Linked DNA regions of Ovis aries. The protein of the gene in region 3 interacts with the protein of the main gene of each other region in a pairwise test. Links are inferred from orthologs where the notes say so. Each region holds a gene or a part of one and is shown on either strand. Other genes may lie near its edges. The genes, in order: FAM107A, SPATC1L, FSD2, CORO1A, LENG1, TLE5 and SH2D4A.

Region 1 (4,778 bases), on a different chromosome or scaffold from region 3:
ATACTTCTTCTCTGGCTGATTTACTTCACTCGGTATGACGATGTCTGAGTCCGTCCATGTTGCTGCAAATGGCAAGGAATCAACAGATTTCTGTATGTCCGCCTTGCATCCTGCTACTTTGATGGGTTCAGCTGATCAGTTCTGACCCTTTTGTGTGGAATCTGTAGGGCTATCTATATTATGTCACCTGTATGTGATGAATTTACCTCTTCCCTTCTGATTTGGATGCTTTGTATTTCTTTTTCTTGCCTGATTGTGATGGCTAGGACTTCCAATACCATGCTGAATAGAAGTGGTGAGAGTGGGCATCCTTGTCTTGTTCCAGGTTTTAGTGGGAGGGCTTTCAGCTTTTCACTGTTGAGTATTATGCTGGGTTTGTCATCGATGGCTTTTATCATTGAGCTATGTTCCCTCTGTACCCACTTCGCTGAGAATTTTCATCATGAATGCGTGTTGAATTTGATCAAATGCTTTTTCTGCCTCTACTGAAGTGATCCGATGGTTTCTGTCCTTTGTTGATATGGGGTACCACACTGACCAGTTTGCATATGTTGACCCATCCTTGTGAACCTGGAATGGATCCAACTTAATCATAGTGTATGATCCTTTTATGAACTGTTGGATTCAGTTTGCTAATATTTTACCGAAGCAAAATTGCATTTTTAATGCTGGCATTCATGCTGGATGTATGCCCTGGGTCTAATCACTTCCCAACCCACCCAGACTCTTCACGAGAAAGTAGAGGTGGGAAGAGGGCCAAGTTTAAGTGGAGGTCAGCTTCCTCACTAGGGGATTAAGGAATGACAACACAGGCTAGAAAACACGTCCACGTTTCAAGCGAGCGGATTGTGAAACTAGGAGAATGCCTGTTATCTGTAAACACCCACACTGGCCTTTGGTAGCTACATATGCTCTTTATTTTCACACTCATACACTGACTCCTTGAGACGAGACCTTCGGGGCACAGACCCCACCAGGGACGGCGCTGCACGCCATTCACACCGAGTCCAGCTCTCTCCGCAGGAAAAGTCCTCCTTGCCGCGCACTGACGGCCTGCTTCCCGGTGTCAGCTCATCTGTGTTTCTTCTCAACCACTGCTGTTTTCCACACTTGACAGGCAGAAACCAAGGCTCAGGGGTTGCCGACCGGCTGCCCAAGGGGCTCATGCCGGGCTGAGCAGGGGCGAACACCAGGGCTGGTCTGGCCCAGAGCTGGTCAGCGTCCACTCACCCACATCCCCTGGGCGCCATCCTGTGGCTCCCCACTGAGGTTCAGGGCACTGAGGAAGCACCAAGGATGGAGTTGTTGGCCTGTACGTGGGTGACTGGAGTTGATGCAGCCTAGTTTCCCCTCCTTTGCACCAACAGCCGCTTTCCCCTGGGGAGTCGCGCCGGGCAGCAGGAAGCCTGCCCCCCCCCACCCCCACCAGGTCAGGGAGGTGCCAGAAGGCATTCTGGCTGACCCTCCATCAGAAACAAGGGAAATGCCTGTGCCTGAGCCACGCCGCTCAGAACAAAGCTTGGTGTGTCCTTGCCCCTCAATGATCTGACCAAATCGATACTTATTTGCGCCTGCCTCCCCGGCAGTGGGGCTCGGACACAGTGTTCCGCATGGAGGAAGTGGCCGAGCACCAAGTGTAATACCCGTTACTATAGTAACAGTTCCTTTCTAATGATACCAGAATAAACAGGAACGCAGAGCCGCCTCCCTCGCTGGCTCTCTTCATCCCCAGGGCTTGACGAACCGTCCTGTGGAGGCGGCCCCTCCTGGCTCACCCGGGACTCTGGTGGAGCGAGGACCAGCAGCGCTGCGCTCGGAAGTTCTCTTCCCAAGGACACGGGCTCAGCTGAGGAGTAAGACCGGCTCTCTTCTGTCCCCCGTGCTGCTGAGCTGGGGTGCGGTGCCAAGAAGGGGTGTGGCGGGGTAAGGAGGGCAGCCTCCCAGCGCCAGGGAGGCCGGCAGGGGGGCAGAGCTCTTGGAGCCCAGGTGCCACACTCTGCGAGATGACGCGGGTGCCTCTGGGCACCTGGGTTTGGGAAAGGGCTCGGAGAGGCTGTGCCGGGAGCGCTCGGATGCAGCCTCCCCCGCGCCCCGCTCTGGCTGATCTCTGTCTTCCGAATGCTCGGGTGCCTCTGAGTTCATGCGTGGCATGACCTCGCGGCAGCGGTAGTTCTCTTGAGGACCGACAGGTCAGAAGCCGGCCGAGACGGCCCCAGGCAGACAGCTCAGCTCAGGCTCCGGAGCCTTCACTTGCTGGCCGTGTGATCTGGGAAAGACCCCTCAGCCTCAGTGTCTTCATTGGCACAAAGGGGTCTCAAGAGCACCACCTCCTCAGTCCGTCGTAAGGATTTCATGAGGTGCGGCCGCTGCGCGCAGCTCGTGGCACAGGGTGAGGGCACGTCCGTGCGTTGCCCACCTGGGTTTGGCTTCAGCACTTTGCAGTGTGAGGCAAGGCTGGTACTGGGCCAGGAATCAGGGGGCTATGGGGTCGGGTGCGTCACTTTTCTGAACTGCTGCTAAACCCAGCGGTTTCCCCGCTGTGGGGCAGCCCCGGTACCTGCATCTCTGGCCAGCTTGGACGCTGAGTGGCTCTTCGCCCCACTGGTGGTAAGTCCTGCCAGGATCCCCCCGCCAGAGGCACTGGTCAAGTGGGGTGGCTGGCATTATGCCACTGGTGGGCCGACACTGTGCCTTGATCAACTGCACAGGACGCTCCACCCGCCTCGCTAAGGACCTTCCACGTCCAGCCCTGGCCTCTGCTATGGAACTGATTCGAAACCCTGTGTGCCCACCAGACCATCTCACAAACGAGGTCACGGGAGACGCAGGCAGAATGCTGAGGAAGTTTGTCTTGAGCCAGTTTGGTTGGGGGAGGCTGCGTCCTAGTGATCCAGCCGCTCTGGCGGGGGCTTCCAGGCATGGGGGCGGGGGGCTGGAAGTGTGGAAGAGGCCCCCAGATATGCCACGCTGTGGCTGCAGGTCAGGGAAATACAAATGGGCACTCTATCCACTGGGAGGAAAGAGGTACGAAGGTTCAGAAATGCGATGGCCACGCTCGTCACTTTCACTGAAAGCTTCTTTCTCCTTGGTCAGTAGTTAATTTCACAGCTTCCCTTCTCCTCTGCGCGTCCATCCCGTGAAACGCGGAACCGAGGAGATCACTGGCTGTGTTGTAAACGCGCCAGCTTGATCAGTAATGAGGAGCAAGGGCAGGGGGAGGGAGCGCATAAGAGTGAAGACTCAGACAACACCCCGGGAGGCACGGCCACCAGCTGGACTCTGCTAGCAGCCCAGCGGGGCGCAGACAGGCCGGTGGATTCTGGCTTAAGCCCAGAGCAGTGAGGGCCCGGCCTGGGCTCCCCAGTGGGAGGGTGCAGAGTTCCCCAGTTCGCAGCACCGGTTTCTCACTATCAAAGGGCTCCCACTGCCTCTACTGGGCTCTCCCGAGTGTCCAGAGAGGCAAGGGATGTAAAGCTGCCTGGCTGACCGAGGCGATGCCTTGCACCTGGAAGACACCGCAGTGGCAGAAAGAGCACTGGCTTTGCGGCCCAAAGCTTCTGACTTTGCCATTTATTTTGCGTATCTTTGGACAAGTAGCTTGGCCTCTCTGAGATTCAGTTTTCCCATTTAGAAAATGGGAATAATAAAACAGTACCACTGGCTGCCTCCTGGGGGAGACTGTGAGACCCGAATGCAGGCGAACGAGCCTTCATCAGATGTCAGGTGCTCAACACGGGTCCCCTTGGCGGTGGCGGTAAAGAGCCTGCCTGTCCATGCAGGAGACATGAGCGACGCGGGTTCGATCCCTGACTCAGGAAGATGCCCTGGAGGAGGGCATGGCAACCCACTCCACTATTCTCGCCTGGAGTACCCCGTGGACAGAGGAGCCTCGCAGGCTACAGTTGCAGAGTCTGTCGTTGGCTGCCTCTGCCCCACCTCCACCACTTCAGCCTGTCCAGTCCTCACAGCATCTTGATTGTAGAGAGAAGGGTCCAGGAAGTTAAGTTCCCATCCAAGGTCACAAAGCTGCCAAGCACACCGACTGTAACCAGACCCGCCCCGAAGAGCCAGTCCAACCAGTCAGCTGAAATCACTCAGGCCAAAGCAAAAAAAGCTTGTTTTTTTTTTTTTTAAACTCTGTGTTACAAAGTTGTCTATTAGAATCACTTTGGACGCTTTTTATGTCATATTGAACTATACTTACGTTGATTCAATTTCAGGTATGCAACAAAGTGATTTAGTTATACATATATATATATATATATACACACACACACACGTGCATTTAAAAAAATTTTTCCCAGTTAGGTTATTACAGAATATTGAACAAAGTTCACTGTGCTATTCGCTAGGTCCTAATTAATTATGTTTTGAATGTAGCAGGGTGTATACACTTATTTCAATTTATCCCTACTCCCCACCTTTACCGGCTGGCGACCATAAGTTTTCTAAGCCTGAATCTGTTTCTGTCAAGAAGTTCATTCCTATTATTTTTTTTAAAGATTCTGCATGTAAACAATATCATATGGTATGTCTTTATCTGACTGTCTTCACTTAGCGTGATAGTCTCCAGGCTGACGCATGTTGCTGGAGATGGCGTGATTCATTTTGATGGCGGAGTGATACTCCCTTGTATTTCTGTGCTACGTCTCCTGGGTCCACTCCTCCGTGAGCGGACATTTAGGTTCCTTCCATGTCTCGGCTACTGTCGGTAGTGCTGCTGTGAACATTTGGGTGCATACATCTTTCTGAATTACAGTTTCCTTCCCTTTCCCAGG
Region 2 (3,978 bases), on a different chromosome or scaffold from region 3:
TGGGATTCTCCAGGCAAGAATACTGGAGTGGGTTGCCACTTCCTTCTCCAGGGGATCTTCCCGACCCAGGAATCGAACCCAGGTCTCCCACATTGCAGGCAGACGCTTTAACCTCTGAGCCACCAGGGAAGTTTTGACTGAGGATTTAAAAAATTGTTTTATGTTTCACACAACTTTGTTAAGCCTTGGGAATAACAGAAGGGAATTTCAGTTCACTAAATAGAAACTAAAAGTGAAGTGCAAACACACCTGACCGCACAACAATCCCTTTAAAATTAGGTCACAGATATGGCACTTCCCCAAGCCCACGAGTAGAGTTTTCCCGGCCCCTGCCCAGGGCTGGGATGGCCTACCTCCCCTGGGAATATGGGAGTCCTGAACAAAGGGGCCCAGGCTTCTGGGACTGAGCCAGAGGAAGAACAAGCACCGGGGGCCCTTGCTGCCTCACTGCTGTGACTTCCTGATGGTTCCTGGGCCGTGTGTCTGGCAGGGGACACACATGAGGGACGCTGACCACCACTCTGCTTTTACAAGGAATGCTGGAAACAGTCCCATGTGCAGCAGGGTGGGGGGGTGGATGAAAAAAATCCATGTGTGTGTGTGCATGTATGTGCAGATGTGTGCCCATGTATGCACGTGTGCCAGGAAATGGTTCAGTGAACCATAGAGCTACCCAATGACACACTCATCATGGATAAATCTCAAAAAAAGAAGTTTCATAATAAAAGGAGCTGGACGATACCATTTATATAAAATTTAAGACACATGTAGGTCACTGTCACAGTGTGTGGACACACAGTGGGAGTGTTGGAGGCCATACGTGTGCTGTGCCTCTGAACCCGGGGCTGCTGGTGTCCTAGGATCCATCGCCTCCTCCAGAGGGGAAGTGGGGGCAGATGTCAGAGCTGGGGGCAGGGTCTCTGCAAGATGCAGGTGCTCCAGGAGCCTCCGCCTCACAGCTTGTTCCTCCTTCCCTGCCCCAGTTCCAGACTTTGGAAGGTTCACCAGTGGCCCTGATGCACCCTCCCAGCTGCAGGGGTCCTCCCTGGAAGACCTGCTGTGCTCACATGCCCCCCTCTCCAGCGAGGATGACGCCTCTCCGGGCTGCGTGACATCCTCCCAGGTGCCCTTCAAGGCTTTTCTCAGCTCCCCAGAACTGCGTGCCTCCCGAGGCTCCGACCGAAAGCTGTCCCCGCTTCTGAGCCCCTTGCAGGACCCGCTGGTGGAGAAGACCCTGCTGGAGACCCGGGAAGTGGGCCGGCCCAAAAAGGTGTGCTTCTCAGAGAGCAGCCTGCCCTCGGGGGACCGAACCAGGAGGAGCTACTACCTGAATGGTGAGGAGGGTGAGCAGCAGGCAGGAGTGGGGGGTTGGCCGCTGGGGAGGGCCCAGCTTCTGCATCCAGCCAGCAGCCGGAGAAGGAGAGTGTGCCCATGCTCCTGGGATCTGGAGCCCTGTCTGTACACATCTTTTGACCATTTAAATAAGTGAGTAGCTTATCTTCTTATGATTGAGTTGTGTATTCTGGATACCAGACTTTTTTGGTACATGTTTTGCAAATATGATCCATGAAGGGGGAGGGGGTATCCTTCCCTCCTCCAGTGGACTACATTCTGTCAGAACTTTTCAGTATGACCCACCCATCTTGGGTGGCCCTACAAGGCATGGCTCATAGCTTCATTGAGTTATACAGGCCTCTTTGCCATGACAAGGCTGTGATTCTGCTTCATTGACTACACTAAAGCCTTTGACTATGTGGATCACAATAAACTGTGGAAAATTCTGGAAAGTAAACTGTGGACATGGGAATACCTTACCTTACCTGTCTCCTGAGAAACCTGAATGTAGGACAGGAAGCAACAGTTAGAACTGGACGTGGAACAACTGACTGGTTCAAAATTGGGAAAGGACTATGTCCAGGCTGTATGTTGTCACCCTGCTTATTTAACTTACATGCAGAGCTCAGTTCAGTTCAGCTCAGTTGCTCAGTCATGTCTGACTCTTCGGGATCCCATGGACTGCAGCATGCCAGGCTTCCCTGTCCATTACCAACTCCTGGAGCTTGCTCAAACTCATGTCAGTTGAGTCTGTAATCCAACCATCTCATCCTCTGTTGTCCCCTTCTCCTCCTGCCTTCACTCTTTCCCAGCATCAGGGTCTTTTCCAACCAGTCAGTTCTTCTCATCAAGTGGCCAAGTTCTTTCTTTTCAAGTGGAGCTTCAGCACCAGTCCTTCCAGTGAATATTCAGGACTGATTTCCTTTAGGATTGAATGGTTGGATCTCTTTGCAGTCCAACGGACGCTCAAGAGTCTTCTCCAACACCACAGTTCAAAAGCATTAATTTTTCAATGCTCACCTTTCTTTATGGTCCAGGTCTCACATCCATACATGACTACTGGAAAAACCAAAGCTTTGACTAGCCAGATCTTTGTCAGCAAAGTAATATCTCTGCTTTTTAATATGCTGTCTAGGTTAGTCATAGCTTTTCTTCCAAGGAGCAAGCGTCTTTTAATTCCATGGCTGCAGTCACCATCTGCAGTGATTCTGGAGCCCAGGAAAACAAAGTCTCTCACTGTTTCCATTGTTTCCCATCTACTTGCCATGAAGTGATGGGACCAAATGCCATGATGTTTGTTTTTAGAATATTGAGTTTTAAGCCAGGTTTTTCACTCTCCTCTTTCACTTTCATCAAGAGGCTCTTCAGTTCCTCTTTGCTTTCTGCCATAAGGGTAGTGTCATCTGCATATCTGAGGTTATTGCAATCTTGATTATAGCTTGTGCTTCATCCAGCCCGGCATTTCTCATGATGTACTCTGCATAGAAGTTAAATAAGCAGGGTGACAATGTACAGCCTTGACATACTCCTTAACCAATTTGGAACCAGTCTATTGTTCCATGTCTGGTTCTACATGCAGAGTACATCATGTGGAATGCTGGGCAGGGTAAATCACAAACTGGAATCAAGATTGCTGGGGGAAATATCTCCAGGAGTTTGTTCAAATTCTTGTCCATTGTGTTGGTGATTCTATCTAACCACCTCATGCTGCCCTCTTTTCCTTTTGCCTTCAGTCTTTCCTAGCATCAGGGTCTTGTCTAGTGAGTCAGCTCTGTGCATCAGATTACCAGAGATTTGGAGCTTCAGTGTCAACATCAGTCCTTCCAGTGAATACTCAGGGTTGATTTCCTTTAGGATTGACTGGTTTGATCTCCTTGCCATCCAAAGGGCTCTCAAGAGTCTTCTCCAACACCACAGTTCAAAAGCATCAATTCTTTGGCTTTCAGCCTTCTTTATGGTCCAACTGTCACATCCATACATGAATACTGGAAAAACCATAACTTTGATCATATGGACCTTTGTTGACAAATTGATGTCTCTGCTTTTTAATATGCTGTCTAGGTTTGTCATAGCTTTTCTTCCAAGGAGCAAGCTTCTTTTCATTTTATGGCTGCAGTCACAATCTGCAGTGATTTTGGAGCCCAAGAAAAAAAAAATCTGTCACTGCTTTCAATTTTTCCCCTTCTATTTGCTATGTTCAAAATCCCTCAAGCTAGGCTTCAGCAGTATGTGAACCATGAACTTCTAGAGGTACAAGCTGGATTTATATAAGGCAGAGAAACCAGAGATCAATTTGCCAACATCTGTTGGATCATAGAAAAAGCAAGGGAATTCCAGAAAAACATCTGCTTCATTGACTACAAAATGATCATCTTTGTTGTGATCTTTGTTCAGTGGTCCTTAATGTTACTATCGTAATTGCGTTGGGACACCAAGGACTATGCCCATGCAAGACAGAAAACTTAATGCGTAAGTGTTGTGGGTGTTCTGACTGTTCCACTGACCAGCCCCCCTCTACCCCTCTCCCTCTGCTGGGGCCTCCCTTGTCTCTGAAACACAACAGTATTGAAATTAGGTAAGTTAATAACCCTTCAGTGGCCTCTAAGTGTTCAAGTGAAAGGAAGAGTTACACATCTCTCACTT
Region 3 (3,107 bases):
TATGCCCCTTGTTCTTAACTAAGGAGACTGCTTTTTAGTCTTACTTCAGGCAGAATATTAAAAAACAGTGTGTGGCTCAGTGCACGGTGTCTCTTGCATTCTCCAAACTGGATCTGAGGTCTAGCAGAGTGCATTTTAGAGCACATTTTAGTCCTAATACCTTACAGGAGGAAGGCTGGTCTCACCTTTGCTCGGGCATGGCAACATTTAACTAACCATGATCGAGGTTTCACTGTGTGAAACATTAATAGGTTTCAGCAAGTTGAGGGTCAGAGGCCCCATAGTACACACGATACTGGGAGAGTGAGGTGATAAAATTTTTTGCAATTTTTGAGATGGAGGGAGGTTGCACTCAATGGCCTTCTGAGTCGGAAGTGTCTGTTGGCCTGGGCCTTGTGGATTTTCCTCCATTAGAAGACAGAATGCTTTTAGCAGCAGAAGCAAACCAGAATTAATCATAACCATTAAGCTTCTGCCCACATCTACCAAAAAAGTTGGACTTGGGACTTCAAGTCAAACTTCATTTAGTAACACTGAAGTTGAACATAAATGTAAAACCAATCACTTAGTGGTAAAGAATGCTGTCTTTGGAGCCAGACTGCCTGGGTTTGAATCCAAGCCCTGAATCCATGTTGGCAGTGGCTCTGTGTAAAGAATCCGCCTGTCAATGCAGGAAACTCAGTTTCCCTCCCTGGTCTGGGAAAGTCCCACATGCCATAGAGTAACTAAGCCCAAGAGTGCCACAACTATTACGCCTGCGCTCTAGAGCCCAGGAGCCACAACTACTGAGCCTACATGCTCTAGAGCCTGCGCTCGCAGCAAGAGGAGCCAGCGCAATGAGAAGCCCACACTGCCCTGGAGAGTAGCCCCTGCTCGGTGCCACTAGCGAAAAGCCCAGGAAGCAGCAAAGGCCCGGCACAGCCAAAACAAGTAAATGGGACAATACAGCTGTGAGAGACAAATGAGATAGTATGTGCAAGGTTGTTGAGCAATGCTTAACACAGAATAAGCGCTCCATAAATTTTAGCTATTTTATCAAAAGTACCCAGAGCTGCTTTCTCTTTCTAGCTGGACTTTAGGGAAAGGGGCAGGAAATGAGTCCTGAAACATCTTAGCATATTTTAGAAAACATAACATGGACCTTAGTTATTACCAGTGAAAACCTCTCCCTCTATTCCTACCAAAGTACATTTTGATCTCAGGTACCCAGATTTCGCCTTACCTTGATGACGCAAATGTGTGCCTCATGCACCACGAGAGGCGGTTTGCCCCCAGGTCCTCTTGTCTGGGGACATCTTCAAAGGCCACACCCACCGTGTAGTCCAAACACTCATCCACCTCTACCTCCCAGTAATGGCGCCCTCGGACTGGAATTAGGTTTCCCATGACTGCAGCACACCTGATTTTAGAAAGTAGAAGTATGTGTCATTTGGGGTGACCCACGCCTGGCTGTGCAGGTGAGTGACACCAACTGCTAGGGTCAGTCAGTAAGTGGTCAGGAAGGGTGGAGGCAGGTGTTCAAACACCTCATTTGTAAGGCGGCACAACCTTTGCTCTCAAAGCTCAGCTGCCCGATGCTGAAGATCAGAAGAAGATTAGTACACTGCTGGCCACAGGTGAGGAGGAGACAAGCCCACTCTGTGTGCTTTTTCGGCAACCGGGCTTTTTAGAGTAACAAAAAGATTTGGTTCACTTGTTCCTTAAAAAAGAAAGAGATTGACGACTTTCCTTGTGGTCCCGTGGTTAAGACTGTGCTCACAATGCAGGGAGCCCAGGTTCGATTCCTGCCCTGGAGCTAACAGTCCACATGCTGCAACTAAGGCTCAGTGCAGCTAAATAAATAAATATTGAATGAACAAGACCACAGGCCCAAACTGGAGTTCTGTGTGCCAAGCCCCATGTCACCAGTAAGCAACAACTTAGTTACAGTTTTACCTTTCACCTAAATGGAATTTTAAACCAGTCAATCAGAACACTAGTTAGGTAATATGCTTGAGAGACCCCTGACCTTTCCTAAAGGAAAGTAACCTTACCACAGCCAACTTGCTTTTTAAAATAAAAAAAATTTTTTTTTTAAATTTTGTATTGGGGTATAGCCAATTAACAAACAATGTTGTGATAGCTTCAGGTGAACAGTGAAGGGACTCAGCCACACATATACCTGTATCCATTCTCCCCAAACTCCCTTCCCATTCAGGTTGCTGCATAACAGTAGGTTCTTGTTGATTATCCATCTTAAATATAGAAGTCTATACACATGCATTCCAAACTCCCTGACTATCCCTTCCCCACATCCTTACCCCCTGACAACCATAAGTTCGTTCTCTCAGTCTGTGAGTCTCTGTTTTGTAATTTTGTGTCATTTCTTTTTAGATTCCACATAAAAGGGATGTCGTATGGTATTTCTCCTCTGTCTGACTCTTCCCTCAGTAAGACAACCTCTAGATCCGTCCACGTTGTTGCGAATGGCGTTATTCCATTCTTTCGAGTGGCTGAGTAGTATTCTCTTGTATGCATGGGCCACAGCTTCCTTATGCACTCCTCTGCCGGTGGACATTTAGCCAACCTGCCTTTTTTGCCTGGAAATATAATTTCCTTGTTCCTGATCCCTTCCACCTGAAAAAGTCTTTCATTCTGTACAGCTCCTTGGACCTCCTTTCTACCTGCTAGATTAGGGGCTGCCCAACTCAAGAATTATTGGGAAAAAGTCAGTAAGCACTTTCAGAGTTGCTCAGTTTCATTTTGTTTCTCAGCGCAGGTAAGAACTTGATTGCTTCTTGTTCCTCTCTGCCCCGCCAATCCCGCGCTGAATGGGTGGAGGCAAGGAAGGGTAACGCTGCTCCACTGTACTCTGTGCTGCTCTGCCGCCACAAGCCGCCACAGGCGTGCGTGCTGGTCGCTCAGTCGTGTCCAACTCCCTGTGACCTCGTGGACTGTAACCCGCCAGCTCCTTTGTCCGTGGGATTCTCCAGGCAAGAACACTGCAGTGGGTAGCCATTCCCTTCTCCGAGGGGTCTTCCCAACCCAGGAATTGAACCAGGGTCTCCTACGGTCTTTACCATCTGAGCCACCAGGGGACAGGCAGTAGGTGCGTAACACATGCAGTA
Region 4 (4,634 bases), on a different chromosome or scaffold from region 3:
CGGATACAAACACAGCACGCACGGGCCGAGTCCCCTCATGGGGACGATCTTTCTCCTGGAAGGAAAGGGAGGGGACCGGTCAGGCATCCGCACACACCCTCTAAGGGCCAGGCCCCAGCTGGGAGCTGGAGTGGGCAACATCTAAGGGGGCCTCATTGGGGGTGTGGGGGGTGGGGGGTTAAGCTCCTAGGGTCAAAGGTCAAGGCAACTCACAGCTACTATGGTGCCTTTTCGGGGCTCAATGATGCGGACTCGTTTGTCTCGGCAGGAGGTACAGATGAGGGCACCATCTCGGCTCCAGTCCACACTGTAGATGGTGTCCGGGTGCACGTCGGAGCCCAGCGTCAGCACGGCCGCCCCCGTGCCCACGTCCCACACCAGGATCACATTGTCGCAACCTGGGCGATGTCCCCAGTGTCAGAAGCCAGGAGCCTCCCCCCTGACTGTCAGGCAACCAGCCCTCCCTGCGTCCCGCCCTTGGCACCTGCACTGAGCAGCACGTTCTGGGCGGTGGGGTGCCAGGCCACAATGCCCACGCGCTTGGTGTGGCCCTCCAGGGTGACGACAGGCTCCCGCAGGGGCAGTGTCAGGCCCCCATCGGGGATCTCCCACACCTGCAGAGAAGGGGCGAGCAAGTGAGTCTTGGCGGTGCCCAACATCAGCTCCAGTGCCTGAGCCCCCTCCTGGCCCCTGGGTGCCCCCCATACTCACCATGACGGAGCAGTCCTCGGAGCCACTGGCAATGACGTTATCATTGTGCGGGCACCAGGCGATGTCCAGCACCGGGGCCGTGTGGCCACAGACCATAGGCACATTCTTGTCTACACGGCCGGTCTGGAGGACACAGCGGGGCCTCTGAGGGAGGTGCTCTGGCCCGCCAAACCCAATCCCACCTCCCCACACCCCTTCAGAGAGGCACAGAGGGGAAAGGTGTGGGGTCCCTGGAAGGCAGAGAGGGACCTAGGGTGGGAGGGTTTGGGGCTCTGCCCATCTCAGAGCTGTCTGGGCAACTCAGAAGGCTGGCCACAGGTAGCGCAGGATGGACATGCGGGCTTGGTCCTGCCCCTCTCTCAGACCCTGGCCAAGTTCCTGCCAGCTCCATCTCAGCCGGGGCCTGGTACCCCCGCCCTCACCCCCACCCCAGATTCTTCCATGGCACAACAGGCCAAGGCCCCCGGCGTGATTCAGGCTGAGGGTGTGGTTGTATCAGGGCTGGGGTTCCCCAGGGAAGTGTGTGTGAATGATGGGGCTGTGGGGACAGGTCCCCCCGAAAGGACAAGGATGGGGAAGTCTGTTATAACGGGTTTGAAATGGCTGCTTCCGGGGACGGCTGCTACAGCACGGTTTCCTGTGTGAAGTGCGGGCCCAGCTCTTACTCTGACAACCACTTCCTCTTCTCTATGTTTCCATCAGCCCTTTTAAGGTAACAACCGAGGGCCCATCTCCCCTTCCTGTCTCACCCCCCAAGAGCACGGGAGTGTGCTGGGGCGGGGGGGTCCGCAGACAGCAGGGAGGGCAGGATTTGAGGGAGGCCAGGGTTGGCGAGGGGAGAGGGTCTCTTACCTCATCCCTGCCTGTGAGCTGGGAGCCACTGAGCTCACTGGCTTCCCAGGGCCTCAGAGAGGTCCCTCCAAACCCTAAGAGCACTGCTGGGCCCACTCAGACCCCATCCCAGGCCTCTCTGTGCAGGAGAAAGCTCCAGGTTGAGACTTGGGAGGGCTAACCCTGGGTCTGCAGGACTTGCTATTTGACACTTCCCGTGTCACTCCCAACCCTGAGCTTCAGCTCCATCCAAGCACTGCATGGAGGCGCTGGAGGAAGTGTAAGGTTCATGCGGCTCAACCCAGTTTTGCAGAGGGCAACACTGCGGCCCACTGTCCTGAGCCGCAGACCTCATCGGGACCCCCAGGGGGCCAACTAGATCACCTGAGGCCCCCTTAGGAGGAGGGCCTGTCCCCAGGGCTCCAGGGGCTCACCTTGCCCAGGGGCAGCACCAGGAAGGCCCCTCCCCCGCTGGCCTCACAGATCAGGGCCACGAATTTGGGGTTGACAGCACAGAAGCCACTATCCCAGGTGTTCTGTGAGACGCGCACATCCTCATAGCACTGGTCAGCCTTGGCCGGCTGTCCAAACACATGGCGGAACTTGCTGGAACGGACCACCTGCCGGCTCATCCTGGTGAGACAGGGGTGAAAGGCTTTGCTCCCCTCAGGTCAACCCTGACCTTCCAGTGGCCCCCATCTCTCCCAGGACACCCACCCCTCAGTCTGGCAGCCATGGTCTCAGCTAACTTCCCTGTCGCTCTCCTCTGTCACTGACATCCAGCTACCCTTATACACGCCTTGCCCACCCCTCCTCATCCCTGGCTGACCTGCAAGGCCCACCGTCTCAACCCGTCCCAAGCCTGGCTTCTGTACCCTCAGCCTCCACAGCAGAGCCTGGGGTGAGGGGTAGCACCTAGTGCCAACTTGACCGCGGACTGGCTGACAGTCCCAGGGCCCATCCTCTCTGACGGGCCACCTTCCAGGGCCTCAGGGCAACAGTGTGGAGGGTGCACTCAGCCTCAGCGTCCAGACCTCACACCCTCACACCCACATGAGGAGCCATCTAAAAGGCAGGGGCCCTCCCCACCTCCAGGTCCAGGCTGGACACACGGAAGGAAATGGCATGTGGGTTTGCCTGGGCGGCATGTCCCCCATGGCCGGAGGGCTTCCCCAGCGGGTCTCTGGGCACCAGAAGCAGGCAGATGGCTCGGGTCCCAGCATCTCCTCCTCACACCTCAGCTTCTCGCCCCCACTTAAGCAGGTGCGCTTAAGGGCCTTCTCCACCCCACTGAAGCCATCCACAGGAAGGAAGCGGCTGGTGCTCACTTCTCGGAGGAGCAGCAAGAACGGTTTTCCTCCATGGCTGGGTGGACAGCGAGCAGAGCCAAGGGACCTGCCTCTGGCTCCCCAGGCTCCAGGCCTCATGCTGGGGCCCCAGAGCATCTCCTGCCAGCTTGGTGTGGGGGCCCCACGGCCTCTCCTCCACCACCTCCCTCGTGCCTAGCCCTTCTCCCTTGGAGCTCCTGCCACCCTCACCTACCCTGGGACTCTGGAGGAGGCTTGTGGGTCCACCTGTCCAGAAAGCGGATGAGGCGCCTGTGAGAGGAGGAGCTGGCTGGGGGCAGGGGACCCTTCCGGGAGGGAAGCTTAGGTCTGGGAACAGGGGAGCCCCAAACTGGAGGCTGGGAGACAGGAAGCCATCGCCCCACCCTGCCTCCTCCCCCACCGCAGGTACCAGGCCCCGGAAACCACGGAAAGGGGAACTTGGCCTTTTCTTGTTTTGCTCTCAACCCCTTCCTGTCTCCAAGCTCAGGGCAGCTACTGGGTTCACCCCACCCTGCCCCCCACCGCCACCCCAAAGACTCCCGTTCTGGGGAGAGGCCGGCGGGTGTCCTGACCCCCGGGCTCCCCCACCTCCATCTTGGCTGCGTGGCCCCTCACCCTCGCCCCCTCACGGAGCTCTGGGACACACGGGTGGACCCTCCCACGCGCACCCACACGCTCAGGCGAGTCCCTCCACGCGGGGCGTGGACGGGCCCCGTCTCCACCTCGGAGCCAGCGGCTCTGACAGTCTGTCCACCCCCACGGCCGGCTTCTGCCAAGCTCTCGCCTGCCCCACAGGTGGCCCAGGGCAGCGATGCCGAGCCCGGGTGGCCGGGCTCCAGCCTTACCTGCGGCTGAGAGATGAGCGACCCCCCAGACGGAGGAGGGCGAGGAGGAGGAGGAGGAGGAAGGAGCCGGCGGAGCCTGAGAACGTCCGCGGAGGATGCTCTTGTCAAGACAATGAATGAGAAGCGGCGGCGCCCGCCTCCTCAGGGGTGGCAGCGCCCCTTTGGGCGGAGCTCTTAAAGGGGAGAGCCCTTCCCTCCGCCAAGGCGCCGCCTCGCCCACCAGCCCGCAGCCTCCCCTCCCTTCCCGCCGCGGCGCTCAGCGCCTCAGCTGCCAATTCCAAACCAAAACAGATGCTGCTGGCCAGTGGCTGAGAATCTAATCTGCACTTTTTTAATGTCAAAAATGCAAAAATAACCTGTTCCTTCTTCCCTTCTCCAGCCCACCCCCAGCCTACTCGCCATCCTTTCCCTGGCATCCATAAAATGGCCCATCAGTCCCTTCAAAGCGGGCCTTAGTATAGCCCTCATCCCAAGCAAAGGCTGTGTTACCATCCTTCTGCCCCACCTCCAGTCAGGAAACAAGTGGAGGCCGAGCGGCAAAGAGGAGGGGGAACCTTGTGTCCACCTGCACCCAGAAGACCTGGGGTCTACTCAGGCCCCTACAGGCACAAATGGGTGGCCTTGGGAGGGTCACTTAACCTCTCGGTGTGTCTTCACCTAGGAGCACCCCCGCCCTGCCTGTCTCCCAGGGGCAAATGATATAATTTGGTGTTATAGAGGTGAAAGAGTCAGAGTTTCTGCCCCAAAGAGCTCTCAGCCCGCTGGAAGGAGAAGCACAAATAACAGCTCCAAGAAGTAAGCAGAGGCCGGAGCCTGGGCTTGAGACTCGAGGAAGGGGTTCATTCCCATCCTTTGGTTCAGAGACTGTGTCACGGAGGTTGCCATGTGAAGGTCAAGAAAGGCCACTCCAGAATCAGAT
Region 5 (4,639 bases), on a different chromosome or scaffold from region 3:
GCGGTCTGGCATCCTAGGAACACAAGAACGCCTGTTGACTCGAACCTCTGCTCCTCAAACTCTGGTCTCAGAAACAACCTCAGAGCTGTCCAGAATCTAATGTATACAACGTGAACAAGAGCAAGCAGATGGCCCACCAGCCACCAGGGCAGTGGCCTTGTAATAAATACCATGTAGTCTCTGCAGACCCCGGAACAAGGCTGAAAACGTTCAACGGTGTTACGAAAATGGGCCTGACCTTGCAGACCCCAGAGCCCCTGCCTCAGCCAGAGCGCCCGTGGTGCCCACTTGGCCAAAGAGGCTCCTTACTCTTTGGGTCGCTGTTTCTCAGGCGCCTTCTTTTCCTTTGTGCTGTGACCACCACTGTCTCCACTGTGCTTTCTCTTCTTCCCCAAGTGCTTCTGCATCTCCCGCAGCGGGTCCAGGCGGCTCTTGATCCTCTCGTCGGGCCCAGGACCAGAGGCGGGGCCGCCCGGCCTAGGGGGCAGCTGGTACCATGGGGGCTGAGTCTGGGCTTCCGCTGCACTCTGTCCCAGGTATGTTAGGATGCCCAGGGCTTTCTCTTGCCTCTCCTGAGGGAGACAAGATGTGAAAGTGAGAACAGGAAGCATGTTCCCTCTCAGGCAGCCAGGGTTCCCGCAGAGGCAGAACCAGACATTCAGCCAGCAGAGCCCGTCAGGAGCCGACTCTGCCAGCTGCTGGGACTTCAGAGATGAGTCCCCGGGGTGCCCCTGCTCTGGGGCACCAGGACAGCTTCAGCAACAAACAGCATAGGAAGGAGGGGACTGCTTATGTTAGGGTTCAAAGGCAGCATCTTTGAGGAGATAGAAAAGAAACTGTGAAGCCAGCCAGGTAAAGCAGTGACTGAGGGGGGAGGGGCGGGGAGGCAGTCTGATAGGAAACCCCGAGGGCAAGTGAGGGACAGCGTCTGATTTACATTTTAAGAAGCTTAACACTTCCCAACATCTTCAAGGTTTGCACATCAGGTTAGAGACCTGAGGGGGTCTACCTAGCACCCGGCAATAATCAACACCTCTTAACATGCTATGTTCTAATACTATTCTGAGTTCTCTAGCTTGTTTAATCCCCACCATCTCCCTAAATATTCCCGTAATCACACCTGAGGGCAAGGTACACCCCCACCCCTGGCTCCACCCGTGACCCGAGGAAGAGGGTAAGGCCACCTTACTTTCTCCTGTCGCTTCTCTTCCTCGTACTCTTTATTGCCTCTCGTCGCCCCCTTGCCTTCTTCCAGCAGCTCCCGAAACAGATCCACAGGGCCAGAACTGCATGGGGCTCCCGTTTCTGCTTCCAGTGCAGGAAGTGAGTTCTGATGCCTGGCTTTCTTCCGTAGGAATTCTGTGCGGGCCTGGAGGGAAAAAAAGTTACAGGCAGAACATTCAGAACCTAGCTGTAGCCCAAGGGACTCTTGAGCCTAGTGCTGACCACTGCAGTGGTAAGGGCTCGAAGGAAGGGAGCAGGGGCACTGGGAACCCAGAAGAGGCACCTGACTATTCCTGGGGAGAGGGTGGAGCAGTGAGGCAAGGCATGGTTTGTAAGCCATCTTCCAAACAGTAAACGAGGGGGTTTCATTTCTGACACAATGAAAACAGCTATAAAGGCAGCCAAAACATCTATTAGGACAGGTGATCTGAATTCCAGGAAGGGCGCTGAGTCATTATGCCCATTTGATTTCCAATTTCTATTGATAACCGTGAACTTAAAAAATATTGCTTTGGCTGCATCAGATCTAGTTTTATAGCATGTGCGATCTAGTTCTCTGATCAAGGACTGAATCTGGGGCCCCTGCATTGGACGCCACTGGGCCACTAGGGAAGTCCGATAAAGGTGAGCTTTAAAAACCCTGACTACCTCCCAGCCAGTGCTGACGATCGGATTAGTCAAAGGACTGGAAGCTAGGTGTAAACCAAACAGGTGAGGAGTTAGAGAGACTCTCTAACGTTTGTGCGCAGCGGTGCAGGCAAAAGGCACGCCTGGCGCAGCGGGACTGGCTTGAGACACTGTCGCTTCGCTGTGGCTCCTCTGAAGCCATCTCACTTCTCCGCCGAAGGGAGATAACCGCCCCGCTAAGAACGAACAGGGCTCGAGAGACTGCAAATCAAGCGCTTTGCACGGGATGAACAGGGGAAAGCGAAACTGAAGTCGCTCAGTCGTTTCCGACTCCTTGAGACCCCATGGTATGTAGCCCACCAGGCTCCTTCATCCAGGGGATTCTCCAGGCAAGAATACTGGAGCGGATCGCCATTTCCTTCTCCAGGGGATCTTCCCGACCCTGGGGTCGAACCCGGGTCTCCCGCACTGTAGGCAGACTCTTTACTGTCTGAGCCGCCAGGGGACAGCAAGAGCTCACTGCACAGGGTGTTTGTACAGCTAAAGTAACAAGCGGCCCGAGCTTCCGTGAACTGCCCAGGGCTCCGATTACTCACGACCCCCTACTCCGGCCCTCCAGGAGGACCAAGGAGAGGTCGAGGGGAACGTCGGCACGGCCCGCAGGCCCAGCCCGCCCGGGAGCCGGGCCCCAGGTCCGCCAGGGTGGCCCGCTCCCCGGCGCCGCCCCGCTCCCCGGCGCCGCCCCGCTCCCCGGCGCCGCCCCGCTCCCCGGCGCCGCCCCGCTCCCCGGCGCCGCCCCGCTCCCCGGCGCCGCCCCGCTCCCCGGCGCCTGCGCGCTGAGCCGCGGCGCCGCGTCCGCCCGGGCCGGGGGCTCACCTCCTGCTGAGCGAGCAGCGCCCTCCGCTCACGCTCTTTCTCCTCCTCACGGGCTCGGGCCTCGTCACGCCGCACGCGGGCGACATTGTCCTTGTTCCGGACGTGCCAGCTCTTCTTGGGTAAAATATTCATGGCGCCTCAGCCGTCCGCGGACCGACAGGCCCACCTCCTGGCACTTCCAATTGGCGAGAGGCAGGCCCCGCCCCGTTGCTCCTTCCTCGGCCACGGATTGGCTCTGCGCTGCCTGACACGACCCCCCAGGGCTGTAGCGAGAGGTGACTGGCTGCGGGGCCCACGTCCCCCGTCTCCGAGAATCGCGCGTGGCGTCGCCTAGCGACCGCCGCTCCCCAAGACTCTGATTCAATCACGTGTCCCCGCCCCGAGGCTCCTGAACGCAGCCGCTGATTGGCTGGCGCGGTCTCTCTCGCGGAAGAGTCCGCCACGCTCTCAGAGCCACACATTTGATTGGTTTATGTCCTGTGAAGGCTTGCCCCAGCTTCTGGACCGGAGATTAAAAAGCACTCAGCGGCCTCCGCTGTGTTTATTGACACAGTACTAGATTCATTGATACAGTACTAGAAAGAGGTTCACTGGAGGGTCGGGGCCTCAGCAGGGAATCCCAGGGCTGGAAAAGCACGGGGTCTTCCCCAGTTCACTCATTTTCCAAATGATGTTGACGAAGCTCAAAAAGGATCTGGGAGCAGGTCTGGGGCTGGAAGTGGGACGTCACCCCAAGCCAGGCTGGAGAGGTCAAAGAGTTCTGTCGGCCGAGCTCAGCGCCACAGCACGCTGTGCCAGGAAGACTTTATTCTGCGCCTCCTGAGGGAAAGGTAGAGGGGAGGTGAGACACATCTCTCCCCTGTGTTCTTTTTCATACTCTCCAGGACCCCTTCCCAGGGGCCAGGCCTGGCTCACCGTCTGTATCTGGCGTTTGAGTTCAGAGATGAGGCGTCCATATGAGTTAGCCAGGGCCACTGTATACGCCATCAGGATGCTAGCGGAGATAAAGTGGAAGCCACTCCGCAAACGTTCTCAGAATATCTTCCACGTAGGGCTTTTTAGAAAGCAGGGGTCTGGACCTCCTCCTTCAGACTCAAGGAGTCGAAGCATCCCAGCCCCCTCCTTCCCGAAGACCCAAGAGTTTGGGCCCCAACCCCCTTCTCTCTCGGAAGCAGGCAGCGGGACCCCAGGTCAGACATTCAGAATCAGACCCAGGAGTCTAGCGCCCTCACCTGGAGATCAGCAGAAGGGGCACAGCAAAAGCCTGGGTACCCAGGAAGAAGAGAAAATTCTGGGCCATCTGAGGCAGTTTGCAGATAGACTCGGGGATCGCCACCCAGATGGACGACTGACCCCGGAATGGACCACACAGCTTGGAAGGTGGGATCCTGGAATCAGAGATAGGCAGAGGTCAAGGATGGCCCAAAGTCAGAACCCTGGACAGGAGGGTGGAGGGTGGGAGAGGCCGGTACCTCCCACACTTACAGGAAGATGCTATAAAGCACAGGAACCGCGGAGATGGCCAGACCCAGGAGAAGGACCAAGGGGAAAAAGAAATTCACAGTGGAGGCTCGAAAGGTGCGGGAGGCCGGGGAGCAGGTGGAGAAGAGGGTGATCTGGCAGGAGGGGATGAAGGGAATATGAGACACAGGAATCTGAGCCCCAGACGCTCCTTCTTCACCATCCAGGAGCCCTAATCCCTGGCCCCCTCTCCTCAATCAGGAGCCAGGAATCCCAGTTCTTTTCCACCATCAGACAAGAGTCCGGGTCGGTCCCCCACTTCCCTCATACCTAACAATTGGGATGCCCTGGACCCTTCCTCTCACATCCAGGGATCTGTCCTCCAGACCCGTGCTCTATCAGGATCTTGTAGTCCGGGACCCCGGCATCCTCCCTCACCAGGATTCGGGAG
Region 6 (3,359 bases), on a different chromosome or scaffold from region 3:
GCCCTCAGCCCTATATCCTGGGTGGGGAGACTGATGTTCTCTTGACTGAAGTGCCAGGTGCCCTAGGGAACCACCTTTCCTCCTGGCTCCCCCTCCCCAGGTGGTCCAGCTTGGATGCAGGGGCGTGAAGGCAGGCTCCAAGTGGTCCTTGGAGAGTTGAGGTCCAGCCAGGAATCAGTTCTCTGATCTGGAAGAAGCCATCTGTAATGCACGCACAGTGACTGCTCATGGTCTTAACATCTGTCTCTTAAGGGTAAAGAATTTCACTTAGGAACCATCTGGCCTGAGGCTCAGAAACCAGTCCCACCACTTATGCTCAGTGACCCCTTAGCTTTTCTGAGTCCTTTTGCCTACTTGTCAAAACAGCTGACCAGACCTCAAACACCTAGGCTTTACTGTGTGACCTCGAGCCTCCATCTGACCATCTCTGGGCTAGGGACTGCGTTCAGGAGCTAAATTATATTTACAAGCTGGACTCAGGACTGTTCATATCCAGTCCCGTAACAGAGGAGGGGCCTGAGGCTTGAAGGAGGCCCCCCTCCTCCCCTGGGAAGGGAGTCACCGCGGGGCAGCCCACAACACAGAGGCAGAAACACAGCAACCAACCTTCTCACGTCTTTATTTGAAAGGCACAGCTAAGCCCACCCTCGATACAGCATTTTCACTTCTCTCCGTAGAGATCAAACGACTGAACACAACAAAAGCTGACAGTCTAAAAGGCTATATACAGACACAGGTGTGGGTGTTGCTTTTTTTTTTTTTTTTAACATTTTTGTCTTTTTCCTTTTTTTAATATCCCTTTTCTTAAAAGACAAGCTAGTATACTGGAAAAGGGGGGGGGAATAAAAACCAAGACAACTTGAGTACCCTCATCTTTATTCGGGAAGGGGAGAAAGGGAGTTCTGAGTTGCTGGCCCCACTGTTGCCCTGGGGCTAAGCTTGCTGTCGGTGGCCCCTCTTTCTTTTGTGGGTGCGGGCATCAGGAACTCATGGAGGGTGAGTGGGTGGGAGGGGGAGACGCGGGGTGCCCAGGGTGGGGAGGGGCAGCTAGCATTGTGTTTGCATGCAGTGCCAGAATGGGAGGCTGGGGTGGGGGCCCCCTCCTGGCGGGCAGACTGTCAGTTACATGTGTGTGAATCAGGGAAATGCAGGGGGTGTTGGACCTCTTGAGGTTTTGCTCCCTTAGGACCTGGCCTCCCCTATGTCTCCAGGCCTCAGCTTGCCTCATCTGTGGTATGAGTGGGTACTGACCCATTCAGTCTACAGGGGAGGAGGAGGCCAGGAATTAGGGGTAGGAGCCAAGCCAGGGTAGGGCACAGAAGCAGGGCGACAGCCCCAGCAGGCAGCTAACATAAATACTACCAGAGTTTGGCCAATCCCAAGCTATCACTGTGTCTCGCGTGCTGAACCTTCCTCTCTCTCAGTGTTTGTCTCCCCTCTGTCCCACCCCCCACCCTCCCCATCCCAGCCGCCCACTAATCCGACTTCTCGCCGTCGTCCTCCTGGTGGGTGTCACCGTCATGCCCGTTTTTGTCTTCCTTGGAGAGGTGGGCCTGGGAGCCCAGCGCTGACAGAGAGAGGAGGCCGGTGCCCGCGCTGACCGCCGGCAGAGAAGGGGGCTGCAGCCCCACAGGCAGGGGGGTCAGGGGCAGGGCCAGAGCCTGCAGCTGAGACAGCTGGTGGGCTTGGAGCTGCTGCTGCAGTACACAAACAGGGGAGCATTAGCCCCCTTGAGCCCACCTGTCCCTCCCCCATCCCCCCACAAGACCCCAGACGTACTCGGATGATGGAGTTCAGCTCAGGAGCAGTGACCTGCTTAGCCCTCTCGATGGCTCCCAAGACCTGCTGCTGGTGCTGGAAAGTGGGGGGTGGGGGATGGAGAGGTGACAGATGATTCACCCCGTCTTGTTGGGATTTGTGGCACAGAGCCCAGAAGTCCCACTCCCATCTGCACTGTTAGAGCCCTCCCTCTCCTCGATTTCCCATCTCTCCCCTCAGGAAACTCCCCTCTCTCCAGGTGATTCCTTTCACAAAGCCTCAGTCTCTTCATCTGGAAAATGGGATACATAGAGATGCACAGAAGGCCCAAAGGGCTTGGTACCAGAATCTTAGGAAACCGTGGACTATGACCAATGCCACATGCAAAGAAGTCAAAGCTTGTTAAGAGCTCAGACCAGGACTGCTAATGGAAGAGATCTGAGGTCTGCTAACCCAAGCTCCTCTTCCTCCGCAGCCGTGAAGGCCCAGTGAATTCTGGCACAGCTGGGGTACGAGTCGAGGTTCGGGGCAATCCCCAGCTTTCCCTGAAAATTTGTCTCTTTGGCTATCAGATGCTAAAATCTGCCAAGCTCCTTTTGTGCCTTGGCTACCAGGGAGCCCCTGCTATGAAAGGAAACCATAAAGCTAGATTTTCAGGGCCCTAAGAATCTCCTTCTCTGGGGCTTCCATGGTGTCCTCCTGGAATTGTCCCTGGGCATCATCCCCTGTGGGACCCTAAGGTACCAGCAGAGTTTAAAAAGGAAATGATGAATTATCAGCGGTAAATCTGGCAGAGAGCAGAGGGGTCTTACGTGACCCAGACGTGTGTGTGCGCGTACAGTGGGCTTCACACCGAGAATCCCAGGAAACAGAAGAGGAAGACTTGGGTGCATAGACCTTTGCGTGTCCATGTGCTTGTGTGTCTATGTTTTGCATCTGTGCATTTGTCTATTGCATCTGTGTCTGTCTGTATGTCTGCCTCTGTGTGCAGAGTGCCTTCCTGTACACCCAGCGGCCAGCAGGACCAGGCAGACGAATCTCAGGAAGGTGAAAGGCAGAAACAAAATTCTTGGTGCAGTGTTCGGCAATGTAGCTGACGTTTTTACGGTGCAATGACTCACGCAGGCTGGGAATTCCACAGCAGGGTGAGGTCCTTCCCTTCACCCCTGGGGTTTCTCCTGCACAGACTGGCTGATGGCTGGGAGGTCCAGAGAAGGCAGTCGTGTGCCCTGGGGCACACAGATGCCTACAGAGGGGTGGGGCTGAGGGAAGTTCAGGGTCTATCTCCTCCCAGCAGACCCCCGGGGGCTCTGCTCACCTCTTGGGACAGGTAGGGCAGGACCTGGGCACATATCCCATTTAGCCTCTTGACGATTTCAGCCTGGAACAGACAGACACTTCAGCCCTGGGCAGCAGCCAGCCAGGGCAGGTGCAGACCAGCCCTGGAAAGCCCAGCGGTTCTGTCTAATCCAAGAGGAGGCCGGCAAGTCCCAGGATCATATCGACTCATCAGGCCCATGGGCACCCGATCAGCAGCAAAAGTGGCCCCGGGGGCTGAGTCTCTGAGGGTAGCTAAGAGCCCAGGACAGAGCGAAATCCAG
Region 7 (3,978 bases), on a different chromosome or scaffold from region 3:
ACCAGGGGCTTCCCTGGTAGCTCAGTTGGTAAGGAATCCGCCTGCAATGCAGGAGACCCTGGTTGGATTCCTCGGTCAGGAAGATCCCCTGGAGAAGGGATAGGCTACTCACTCCAATATTCTTGCCTGGAGAATTCCATGGACAGAGGAACCTGGCGGGCTACGGTCCATGGGGTCGCAAATTGTACACGACTGAGCAACTAAGCCCAGCAGAGCAGAATACCAGGCATCTGGGATAAGAGGAGGTGGACCCGAACATGCCCCTCGAGTTCAGCTCCACGTGACTTTTTACTGCAGCTTAAGGTCAGTCCGGTTTCAAGAAAGACATCTGCTCTCAGCCTCACCACTCCAGAGTATTGCTGCTTGTGTGTGTGTGTGTGTGTGTGTGTGTGTGCGCGCGCACGCACGCGCGTGCTTCAGGCTAATCAACTGCACCATGAAAAGCTCAGTAACACTGAGGGTCTGCCTGCCAAACCAGACCTCAGACGCGGCTAGCTGCTGACCAGTGTGAGCCATGCAAACAAGCAGGGAGGCCGCCCGCCGCGGAGGCTCCGGGAGGAGTGAGCTCCGCTTACCTGTCTTCGGCCTGGGTTTCACTGGCAGGGACTCCTGTTTTTCCATCGCTGCTTCTCTTTCTTTCCAGCGGCGGACCTGCTCCTCCCTCATCTTGAAGAACAGGATCTGTTTCTGTTCCTCGTTTAGCTCTGCCAGCAGATCAGGATCTATGTACATCTCCGACAGGATCTGTTTCAGCATCTTTGCGGGGCTGGAGTCTTTTGCACCTGAGGCAAAAGTTCTTGAGAACGGCTTCCAGGGCTGCCTCCCCTGGGCTGGCACGGGGGGGCACCCACAGACCTTCCCAGACGCTCGTGGGGCTGGGACGGCGGCAGTTCAGCGAACTGGCTCTGGGTTCCCACACCGGGCCCCCTGTCCAAAACGCCACTCATGAACCTGCAAAGAGCAACCGCCAAGATGCAACTGTGTTAGAAGGTACAAAGGCCAGGACGGGCTTAGGAGCAAGCTTGGCAGAAACACAGATCCGCCTTTATTTCAGGCAAGCTTTGTTAAGAGTTTTGTGTAACCTGTATCCTGTAATTTCCAAAGATACTTTAACAAAAAAACAAAAAAATAAACCCTAACTTTTTACCGGTCACTCTCAGGGAAACAAAAAATTAACAGAGGCTTGGCTGTCTCCCAACTAAGCAAACATGCGATTACTTCCGAGCTCAACAAACCACCACGTCCACAGCTAAAAACAGTTAAAGAGACAAAGGCAAGGATGAAATTAAAAGCCTCTCTCCAAACAACGTACTTCAAAAGCAAACACTGTTTTTGAGATTTCAGAGAATTACCCACCCAAACCCAAGCCAGGCTTAAGGAAGAAATAAAGAAGAAATAAAAATTAGACCATAATGCAATTTTCCCATTTTCCCTTACAAGTGGCTGTTAATACAAACAATTATGCGCTGTCATCTTCACAGATGGACAGTTCGGTGTTCAGACAACTCACCAGAACCACAGAAACCGTGCAGAGCAGGACAGGGCACTCACATGCATTTTGGAAGGGCACCAGGGTTTAGGCGTGCCTCTTCCAGATACCCTAATTTCACAGGGTCTAAATTTACAGACCAGATAAACTGGGGAGCCATGAAATTAAGAGACACTTGCTCCTTAGAAGAAAAGCTATGCCCAAGCTAGACAGCATATTAAAGAGCAGAGACATTACTTTGCCAACAAAGGTCCGTCTAGTCAAGGCTATGGTTTTTCCAGTGGTCATGTATGGATTTGAGAGTTGGGCTGTGAAAAAAGCTGAGCACCAAAGAATTGACGCTTTTGAACTGCGGTGTCGGAGAAGACTCTTGAGAGTCCCTTGGACTGCAAGGAGATCCAACAAGTCCATCCTAAAGGAGATCAGTCCTGGGTGTTCACTGGAAGAACTGATGCTGAAGCTGAAACTCCAATACTTTGGCCATCTGATATGAATAACTGACTTCTTGAAAAAGACCCTGATGCTGGGAAAGATTGAAGGCAGGAGGAGAAGGGGATGACAGAGGATGAGATGGTTGGATGGCATCACCGACTGGACAGACATGAGTTTGGGTAAACTCTGGGAGCTGGTGATGGACAGGGAGGCCTGGCGTGCTGCGGTCCATGGGGTCGCAAAGGTCAAACACGACTGAGCAACTGAACTGAACTGAACTGAAGGGGTGACCAGGCTCATCACAAAGGGTCCTCGCTCTGTAAGACAGTTTCTCAGATGGAGGAGCCTTGGGCCTGAGCACACAGGTGACTTCACAGGGGCACCTACTCCTCAGCAGACGTGTTCTACTTCACACGTTTCCATTTGGTCTATTTTCAAAAAATATAGCAAACCTTCACATTTTTGTCATTAGGAGAAAATGATGTACACATTTCCATTCTGGGGGGAAAAACAGAATGCTTATTTTGTTCCAATATAATAAGAAATCCACAAAAAGCTTATTTATTTCAACTCTGCAGGATCACCTATGTTCTAAGAAACAGACTAACAATCCTACCATCTGGCCACGCCCTCTCAAATATCTTCTTTCTCCAAACTAACTTCAAAGGCTCTTAAGCTTCAGACCAGTCGCTCAGCCACACGGCGGCCCTCCCAGGCCCATGGCCAGTCACCCCCGGCCCTTCTCCTGGTCACCTCCAGGCAGGCTGCCACACTCCTCTCACGCCCGGGAGGCTCCTGCAGCTTCGTTCCTGCTCCACCTCCTTGCGCAGCTGTTTCTCCATTTACACCAGCTTTTTCAGAGAAGCACAAGCAACAGCCCAACAGCCAGGGTACCCAGGGTGCCCTGAGTACCAACAACATGTAGTTCCGTTCACTAACATGCCCTGTGTAGCAGGGACCTTTACTGAGGCTACCACGACCCTCGCCATCTGCGTCCTGCCATCTGTAGCATTCAGTTACCCGGGGCTCAAATGGAACACAGTGTTTAGAGAAATTTTTAAAAGAATTAAAGGCACCGTCCGACTCTAACTCAGTCAGGCACGCCTGCCCCAGGCTGCCTGGCTAGCTTTGTATTTTGCTTTGAGGCGACCCTCAAAGGCTCTAACAGCCACACCACTGATGTCCTGCGATGCGGTCCTGACTCTGCGGTCTCCAGGAGAGGGGCACAACTAAATCTACACTTGACGGGGGTTTCCAGAGGCTGAGCTCTTGTCTGTAGGCGTCAGAACAGCAGGAAGAAGGTAAGTCCTCCACTCACTGGACTCCAGTGCTGGAGACCAAGTGCTAAGAAGCCAAAGTGAATGAGTCCTTGACATTCCGAAGGAACACACCTCAACATAATAAAAGCTATAGATGACATTCCGGTAAAGGTCCTTACGCCGGGACACTTCTTGACCAGGGGTTGACTTTCACAGAAATAAAACACAGGGGAGAGGAGCTGCCCAGGGAAGTTGGAAGCTTCCGCTCTATCCCCCAGTCTGGAATTGGGCGACTCCCAGCAACAGGGACAGGGCAGGCAGCACCTAAACAGGAAAACCCTGAAAGGGCTGAATCCGCTCTCCCCTCCCCACCTGGCGCACTCCTGGTCTCAGACGCTGACCCCAGCCGCAGCCACGACCGACCATGAGCGGTGAAGGCAGTAACTAACGAATCTTCATCCCAACCTTGGAGTTCAGCCCCTTACCATCCCCATTTCCTACAAGACGATGGAGGGGGTGTGCCCGGCCGTCTGGCTCCAAGTCAGGGGCACGGAGTTTTCCGGGAGCCCAGAATCAGGCTTCCCTGGTAGCTCAACTGGTAAAGACCCCTCCTGCAATGCACGAGACCCTGGTTCGATTCTTGTGTCGGGAAGATCCCCTGAAAAAGGGACAGGCTACCCACTCCAGTATTCTTGGGCTTCCTTTTTGGCTCAGCTGGTAAAGACTTCACCTGCAACGCGGGATACCTGGGTTTGATCCCTGAGTTGGAAAGATACCCTGGAGAAAGGAAAGGCTACC

What was found.
Region 1: the proteins of FSD2 (region 3) and FAM107A interact in binary tests that used the Homo sapiens proteins (3 or more experiments, as listed by UniProt). The two-hybrid records come from large-scale screens. The link is inferred for Ovis aries from reciprocal best matches to the Homo sapiens genes FSD2 and FAM107A.
Region 2: the proteins of FSD2 (region 3) and SPATC1L interact in binary tests that used the Homo sapiens proteins (3 or more experiments, as listed by UniProt). The two-hybrid records come from large-scale screens. The link is inferred for Ovis aries from reciprocal best matches to the Homo sapiens genes FSD2 and SPATC1L.
Region 4: the proteins of FSD2 (region 3) and CORO1A interact in binary tests that used the Homo sapiens proteins (3 or more experiments, as listed by UniProt). The two-hybrid records come from large-scale screens. The link is inferred for Ovis aries from reciprocal best matches to the Homo sapiens genes FSD2 and CORO1A.
Region 5: the proteins of FSD2 (region 3) and LENG1 interact in binary tests that used the Homo sapiens proteins (3 or more experiments, as listed by UniProt). The two-hybrid records come from large-scale screens. The link is inferred for Ovis aries from reciprocal best matches to the Homo sapiens genes FSD2 and LENG1.
Region 6: the proteins of FSD2 (region 3) and TLE5 interact in binary tests that used the Homo sapiens proteins (3 or more experiments, as listed by UniProt). The two-hybrid records come from large-scale screens. The link is inferred for Ovis aries from reciprocal best matches to the Homo sapiens genes FSD2 and TLE5.
Region 7: the proteins of FSD2 (region 3) and SH2D4A interact in binary tests that used the Homo sapiens proteins (3 or more experiments, as listed by UniProt). The two-hybrid records come from large-scale screens. The link is inferred for Ovis aries from reciprocal best matches to the Homo sapiens genes FSD2 and SH2D4A.

What each region holds. Positions count from the first base shown.
Region 1 is NC_056072.1:42,903,672-42,908,449, forward strand, and holds the start of FAM107A (actin-associated protein FAM107A), read left to right. Parts: upstream 1-1,778; 5' UTR 1,779-1,895; exon of another isoform or gene 1,896-4,778. UniProt on the Homo sapiens protein: Stress-inducible actin-binding protein that plays a role in synaptic and cognitive functions by modulating actin filamentous (F-actin) dynamics. Mediates polymerization of globular actin to F-actin. Also binds to, stabilizes and bundles F-actin.
Region 2 is NC_056054.1:266,610,915-266,614,892, reverse strand, and holds part of SPATC1L (speriolin-like protein), read left to right. Parts: intron 1-983; coding exon 984-1,334; intron 1,335-3,978.
Region 3 is NC_056071.1:22,359,582-22,362,688, forward strand, and holds part of FSD2 (fibronectin type III and SPRY domain-containing protein 2), read right to left. Parts: intron 1,400-3,107; coding exon 1,223-1,399; intron 1-1,222.
Region 4 is NC_056077.1:26,650,138-26,654,771, forward strand, and holds the start of CORO1A (coronin-1A), read right to left. Parts: upstream 3,145-4,634; 5' UTR 2,988-3,144; coding exon 2,632-2,987; intron 2,176-2,631; coding exon 1,977-2,175; intron 835-1,976; coding exon 712-834; intron 615-711; coding exon 485-614; intron 399-484; coding exon 214-398; intron 56-213; coding exon 1-55. UniProt on the Homo sapiens protein: May be a crucial component of the cytoskeleton of highly motile cells, functioning both in the invagination of large pieces of plasma membrane, as well as in forming protrusions of the plasma membrane involved in cell locomotion.
Region 5 is NC_056067.1:63,980,334-63,984,972, reverse strand, and holds the start of LENG1 (leukocyte receptor cluster member 1), read right to left. Parts: upstream 2,886-4,639; 5' UTR 2,860-2,885; coding exon 2,728-2,859; intron 1,370-2,727; coding exon 1,190-1,369; intron 573-1,189; coding exon 310-572; intron 1-309. Other genes in the region: TMC4 (transmembrane channel-like protein 4), read right to left, coding at 3,478-3,546, 3,643-3,721, 3,960-4,115, 4,213-4,343.
Region 6 is NC_056058.1:18,530,897-18,534,255, reverse strand, and holds the end of TLE5 (TLE family member 5), read right to left. Parts: intron 3,140-3,359; coding exon 3,077-3,139; intron 1,855-3,076; coding exon 1,780-1,854; intron 1,698-1,779; coding exon 1,476-1,697; 3' UTR 603-1,475; downstream 1-602. UniProt on the Homo sapiens protein: Transcriptional corepressor. Acts as a dominant repressor towards other family members. Inhibits NF-kappa-B-regulated gene expression. May be required for the initiation and maintenance of the differentiated state.
Region 7 is NC_056079.1:37,630,974-37,634,951, forward strand, and holds part of SH2D4A (SH2 domain-containing protein 4A), read right to left. Parts: intron 952-3,978; 5' UTR 757-951; coding exon 576-756; intron 1-575. UniProt on the Homo sapiens protein: Inhibits estrogen-induced cell proliferation by competing with PLCG for binding to ESR1, blocking the effect of estrogen on PLCG and repressing estrogen-induced proliferation. May play a role in T-cell development and function.